Anolis sagrei: one gene and its partner. The protein of the gene in region 2 purifies or fractionates together with the protein of the main gene of each other region. This does not show direct contact. Links are inferred from orthologs where the notes say so. Each region holds a gene or a part of one and is shown on either strand. Other genes may lie near its edges.

Region 1 (3,752 bases), on a different chromosome or scaffold from region 2:
TATAACTAAAAAAACCACTGGACGAATTGACTGCAAATTTGGACCTATCAGGCCAACGAGTGTCCATCACCCCTAAACCACACACAAAAAACCATTCGAACGGGCTTTGAAACCCCCAAAATAAACCATATATTTTGGTTTATTTTGGGGGTTTCATATGTGTTCATACACATATACACAAGCACACATACATAGACACAAACACACACATATATACACACACACATAAACACAAAAATACTCAAATATATACACATATACACACACAAACACACATATGAGTCCCCCCCGGGGTGAGAAGGGCGGGGTATAAGTAAATGAAATTAAAAATATATATATACATATACACAAATATATACACACATTACAATGCATGTGCAAAACTACATATATGTACGCAAGCACACATATATACACAAATACACACACACACACATATATATATATATACACACACACACACACACAGATATACACACGCAAACTGGGCCACAGCAACGCATGGCAGGGGACGGCTAGTATTATATATATATTACTATACATTATAAGATTATATCATATTATATTATAAGATTATAATATACATCATTTTAAAGAAATGACATATATTAAAGCAACTGTGATGAATAAAAGACAATATAAACTATCTATTTTATAGAAATGACACATATTTATGCAACCTATCCTTTGCTTTAATATACAATAAGTAGGATATATAATATAATATTAAAATACACATTATTTTTAAGAAATTACATATATTAAAGCAACTGTGATGAATAAAAGACTATATAAACTATCTATTTTTAAGAAATTGCACATATTTAACCAACTTATCCTTTGCTTTAACATACAATAGGTATGATATGTATTATAATATTAAAATACACATTATTTTTAAGAAATTGCACATATTTAAGCAACCTATCCTTTACTTTAACATACAGTAAGTATGATATATAATATAATATTAAAATACAAATTATTTTATAGAAATTACATATGTTAAAGCAACTGTGATGAATAAAAGACAATATAAACTATCTATTTTTTAAAAATTGCACATATTTAAGCAACTTATCCTTTGCTTTAACATACAATAAGTATGATATGTAATATAATATTAAAATACACATTATTTTAAAGAAATTACATATATTAAAGCAACTGTGATGGATAAACTACTTATTATTAAGAAATTACACATATTTAACCAACTTATCCTTTGCTTTAATATACAATAAGTATGATATATAATATAATATTAAAATACACATTATTTTAAAGAAATGACATATATTAAAGAAACTGTGAAGAATAAACTACTTATTATTAAGAAATTACACATATTTAAGCAACCTATCCTTTGCTTTAATATACAATAAGTATGATATATAATATAATATTAAAATACAAATTATTTCATAGAAATGGCATATATTAAAGCAACTGTGGTGAATAAAAGACAATATAAACCATCTATTTTTAAGAAATTAGACATATTTAAGCAACTTATCCTTTGCTTTAACATACAATAAGTATGACATATAATATAATATAATATTAAAATACACATTATTTTTAAGAAATTGCACATATTTAACCAACTTATACTTTGCTTTAACATACAATAAGTAGGATATATAATATTAAAATACACATTATTTTATAGAAATTACATATATTAAAGCAACTATGATGAATAAACTATCTATTTTTAAGAAATGACACATATTTAACCAACTTATCCTTTGCTTTAATATACAATAAGTATGATATATAATATAATATTAAAATACAAATTATTTTTAAGTAATGACATATATTAAAGCAACTGTGATGAATAAAAGACAATATAAACTATCTATTTTTAAGAAATGGCTCATATTTAACCAACTTATGCTTTGCTTTAATATACAATAAGTATGACATATAATATTAAAATACACATTATTTTTAAGAAATTGCACATATTTAAGCAACTTAAAACCTTTGCTTTAACATACAATAAGTAGGATATATAATATAATATTAAAATACAAATTATTTTATAGAAATTACATATATTAAAGCAACTGTGATGAATAAACTACTTATTTTTAAGAAATTACACATATTTAAGCAACTTATCCTTTGCTTTAACATACAATAAGTAGGATATATAATATAATATTAAAATACACATTATTTTAAAGAAATGACACATATTAAAGCAACTGTGATGAATAAACTATCTATTTTAAAGAAATGACACATATTTAACCAACTTATCCTTTGCTTTAATATACAATAAGTATGACATATAATATAATATTAAAATACACATTATTTTATAGAAATGACATATATTAAAGCAACTATAATGGATAAAACGTCTATTATTAAGGAATTACACATATTAAAGCCATTCAGAGGTTGCTATGATATACTGTACCATTCATTATGTATTATATAATAATAATAACATATAACAATAACATATATAAACTGAGGGGAATAAAATGCAATGTTAAAATGTCTATTCTGAAGGAATTGCATAAATTAAAGCTACCCAAAGGTTGGTTTAATATACTATAAGATATATTACATATATATATAGACCATCAAGACTAAACTACATCTCTTAAAGCCAGAATACATCTACAGCCATTACCCTCCGCTTCCTTCGTGCGTCTGCCGCCTCCTTCGCCTCATCCCCACAGAGGCGCATACTACTTCGCTGCCACACGCCGAGCTCTCCGTCCCGCCCCTTGCCTCCTAACGTACCCAATAGCGTCACGCCGTGGTCCCTCTGCCTCCCTCCTATTGGTCCCGCGCCAAGCTGAGGGAATTTCCAAGCCCCGCCCCTCCACCCTTCTGCAGTCAGGCTTGGTTGGAGCAGCTGTCCACACTCACACACGAAAAGGGGAACGAGAGGAGGCGTCTGATTGGCTGACGGGGTGAGTTGCCGTCTGGTGATTGGCTAAAAAAAGAAGGCCGGCCTTCTTTCGCCCCGCCCCTAGCGAACCAAACGATGCGTGCGTTTGATTCGTCGAATCCTCGCTAGGCCCGCCCATTTGTCTCCCGATGAGTGGTGGCAGGAAAAAAGGGCGGGGCGAAAGTAGAGCGAGGGTTCCAATTGGAGGAAAGGGCAGCTGTTCAAAGGTTGTGTTTACAATTGGCATCAGGCTGTGAACATAGGGAATAACAGCAACAATAACAACAACAACAATTGGGCTTGGGGTAGAGCACAACACTTGATAATATTATTATGTAATATACAATATAATACTACTAATAATAACATGATATTATAATTTATTTATTTATTTACTTTACTTATATACCACTGTTCTCAGCCCGAGGGCGACTCACAGCGGTTCACAACCAGTAAAAACAGCAATAATTCAATGCAATAATGTAACAACAATTAACAATTAACATATTATCCAACAATAGAATTACTACATTAACCAATCACTAACGTCTCATCATCTAAAAACATAATCCAAAATTCATCATCCATTGTTCCATTCCTATGTTCATTGCCAGTCAATTGCACTAGTTATTCGAATGCCTGCACAAATAGCCAGGTCTTCAGTTTCTTGCGGAACACCATTAGAGATGGTGCCAGCCTAATGTCTGTGGGAAGGGCGTTCCACAGCCAAGGAGCCACCACCGAGAAGGCCCTATCTCTCGTCCCCGCCAGCCGTGCTTGAGAAGCAGGCGGGATCGAGAGCAGGGCCTCCCCGGAAGATCTCAAAGTCCTGGTG
Region 2 (3,752 bases):
TTCATAACGGTAGAAAACTGTAGTTATGAAGTAGCAATGAAAATAATTTTATTTATGGTTGGAGGTCATCACAACCTGAAGAACTGTATTAAGGGGCCACGGAATTAGGAAGGTTGAGAACCACTGATCTAAAGGAAAACATTGCTGGCTCATCATGGCAACTAGATGGTTCCCTAAGCATTCCATTCCTGCCAGCCAGCTATGTTGCTGTGTGCCTTTTAAAGTGGTTTTCAACTTCTGCCAACCCTATTATGGGGTGCATCATCTCCATTGTAGAATGAATGCAGCTCGACACCCCTTTAACTGCTTTGGCTCAATGCTATGGGATGCTGGGATTTGGTGAGGCACCAGACCTTCTTTTTTGCAAAGAAAGCCAAACTAAAACTCCCAGCACTCCATGGAGAGACTTATTTTGCATAGAATTATGGAAAAAAATAGACCCATGTATGATTCCACAGAAAGCTGGCTTCAGGAAAGGCAAGAGCTGCACGTCACAAGTACTGAACCTGATTCAGTACATAGAAGATGGCTTTGAAATGCAGCAGATCTCAGGAGCTGTCTTCATAGACCTGTCAGCAGCTTATGATACTGTAAACCACCGCCTCCTCCTAAGAAAAATGTATAATATCACAAAGGACTACCACCTCCCACGCCTCATAGAAAACCTGCTACAAATCAGGAGCTTTTTTGTTGAGTTCCAGAGCCAGAGAAGCAGATGGCGGAAGAAACAGAAGAACGGCCTGCCTCAGGGGAGCGTGCTTGCTCCATCAATGTTCAACATTTACACAAATGACCAGCCACTGCCAGAAGGGACAGAGAGTTTCATCTATGCTGATGATTGTGCCATCACTGCTCAAGCAGGGAGCTTTGAGACGGTTGAACAGAAGCTCTCCAAAGCTCTAGGTACTCTTACTGCCTATTACAGAGAAAAACCTGCTGATTCCTAATCCATCTAAAACACAGGCATGTGCCTTTCACCTTAAGAACAAACAAGCATCCCGAGCTCTGAGGATCACCTGGGAAGGAATCCCACTGGAGCACTGCAGCGCACCCAAATACCTGGGAGTCACTCTGGACCGTGCTCTTACCTACAAGAAGCACTGCCTGAACATCAAGCAAAAAGTGGGTGCTACAAAACAATATCATACGAAAGCTGACTGGCACAACCTGGGGATCACAACCAGACACAGTGAAGACATCTGCCCTTGCGCTATGCTACTCTGCTGCTGAGTATGCATGCCCAGTGTGGAACACATCTCACCACGCTAAAACAGTGGATGTGGCTCTTAATGAGACATGCCGCATTATCACGAGGTGTCTGCACCCTACACCACTGGAGAAATTACACCACCTGACATCCGCCGGGAAGTAGCAGCCAATAGTGAAAGGACCAAGGCAGTGACATCTCCAGCCTATCCCTTGTTTGGGTATCAGCCAGCACGTCAATGACTTAAATCAAGAAATAGTTTTCTAAGATCTACAGAGACACTAACTGGAACACCCCAGCAAGCGAGAGTCCAAAAGTGGCAGGCTCAAACCCAGCACCTCAATCCATGGGTGATATCAAATGAGAGACTTCCCCCTGGGCACACAGAAAACTGGGCGACTTGGAAGGTGCTGAACAGACTGCGCTCTGGCATCGCAAGATGCAGAGCCAACCTCAAGAAATGGGGCTACAAAGTGGAATCCACGACATGCGAGTGTGGAGAAGAGCAAACCATGGACCACCTACTGCAATGCAACCTGAGCCCTGCCACATGCACAATGGAGGACCTCCTTGCAGCAACACCAGAGGCACTCCAAGTAGCCAGATACTGGTCAAAGGACATTTAATCAACTACCAAGCTTGCAAACTTTGTGTTTTGTCTGTTTGTTTGTTTTGTTAAAAATGTAATACAAATGTCTGGTTGCTGATGACACGATAAATAAATAACTTCTGTCAACCCTATCCTGAGGTGCATCGTCTTCATCGGCACCACTTTAACTGCTTTGGCTCAATGCTATAGGATCCTGGGATTTGCTGTTCTCTTTGGCAAAGAAGGCCAAACTACAGCACCTCCCAGGTCTCCACAGCATTGAACCATGGCAGCTGAAGCGGTGTCACTGTATTGAGCCTACAATGCAGGTGCACCCACTAGATCAGTGGTTCTCAACTTGTTTTGGCCTTCAACTCCCAGAAATCCTAACAGCTGGTAAACTGGCTGGGATTTCTGGGAGTTGTAGGCGAAAACACTTGGGGACCCACAGGTTGACAACCACTGCACTAGATGTCCTTGGCAAGATCTGTTTTTTGGGTGGGGGTGAAGCAACCCAGGGCCCCCCAATGCAAGTGATGCCTCCAACATTGGAAGGATGTACCAAAAGGGAAGCAGAAACTCGACTTAAGCAACTTAGTTTCATTTTCGAGGGCGCCTCTTCCTCCTCCCTCTCCGTCTGGGCCCTAAACACCAACTCAAGGAGGAAGTCACCCACAACCAACCCAAGACTCTGCTATAGGGTCGCCCTCGGTCTAGTCAGTGAAAAGGGACACTTCCTCGTCGGTCCTTTAAGGGAAGTTGCCTTGGAAGCGCCTTGGGGCGCCACTTTCTCCAGAAATAGGGAGGGGAAGAGGAGAAGAGGGAGCAGCAGCAGCCCCGTTGGGCCCTTTACCTTCTCTTCGCCCTCTTTTGTGCCCTTCGAGGGAAGGCGATCCTACAGATCTCTGATCCTTCTTCCTTCCAAGAAGGAGGCGCGCCTGGATGGCTCCCCTCTTGCTTCCTCTTTCGCGGAAGTTTTCTCGGGGAGGAGTTTCGCCGTGACCAAAGAGCACGCGGGGCACTTCCCAGCCTATCCTCCCGCCCCTTCCAGGCCAACTTTTCCTTTTCCTTTTCCTTTTTTTTCTTCCAGAAAAGGCTGGGCTTCAGTGACCCAGACAGGCTGCACCCACACTGCAGAAGTAATGTCGCTTGGCATCACTTGAACTGCTTGGGACCGAGGGAGTTGTAGTTTTACCAAGTACAGATCAAAACTGCAACACCCAGGATTTTATACCAAGTGGGGTCAACCTGCAATCATTCTGCAGTGTAGATGCCCCCCAAATCTTTCAAGGAAGGCCTGTTCACGTCAGCATATTTTTCAATTTTAATCTATTACATTTGGCCCAGCCATTTTAAAACTGTTTATATGTCGCTATTGATCACTGTTTTGTTATGTGCATCTCCACTGAAGAAATAATGCAGTTTTGGCACCGCTCTGGCCCCTTCTACACACCCCTGGATCCAAGGCTCTGAGCCCAGATCTGAGCATCCCGAGCTCTGAGGATTACCTGGGAAGGAATCCCACTGGAGCATTGCAACACACCCAAATACTTGGGAGTCACTTTGGACCGTGCTCTGACATACAAGAAGCACTGCCTGAACATCAAACAAAAAGTGGGTGCTAGAAACATCATACGAAAGCTGACTGGCACAACCTGGGGATCACAACCAGACACAGTGAAGACATCTGCCCTTGCGCTATGCTACTCTGCTGCTGAGTATGCATGCCCAGTGTGGAACACATCTCACCACACTAAAACAGTAGATGTGGCTCTTAATGAGACATGCCGCATTATCACAGGGTGTCTGCAATCTACAATCAAAGAGCATTCTGAACTCCACCAACAATGGAATTGAACCAAACTTGGCACACAGGACTTCCATGACCAACAGAAAACACTAGAAGGGTTTGGTGGGCATTGATCTTCAGTTTTGGAGCTGTAGTTCACCTACACC

Evidence for each region. The genes of interacting proteins can lie anywhere in the genome.
Region 1: the proteins of RIPK1 (region 2) and CYLD purify together in Homo sapiens (affinity purification with western blotting; 5 studies listed by BioGRID). This does not show direct contact. The link is inferred for Anolis sagrei from reciprocal best matches to the Homo sapiens genes RIPK1 and CYLD.

Annotation. Positions count from the first base shown.
Region 1 is NC_090028.1:32,385,692-32,389,443, reverse strand, and holds the start of CYLD (ubiquitin carboxyl-terminal hydrolase CYLD), read right to left. Parts: upstream 2,750-3,752; 5' UTR 2,654-2,749; intron 1-2,653. UniProt on the Homo sapiens protein: Deubiquitinase that specifically cleaves 'Lys-63'- and linear 'Met-1'-linked polyubiquitin chains and is involved in NF-kappa-B activation and TNF-alpha-induced necroptosis.
Region 2 is NC_090024.1:87,468,554-87,472,305, forward strand, and holds the start of RIPK1 (receptor-interacting serine/threonine-protein kinase 1), read right to left. Parts: upstream 2,812-3,752; 5' UTR 2,650-2,811; intron 1-2,649. UniProt on the Homo sapiens protein: Serine-threonine kinase which is a key regulator of TNF-mediated apoptosis, necroptosis and inflammatory pathways.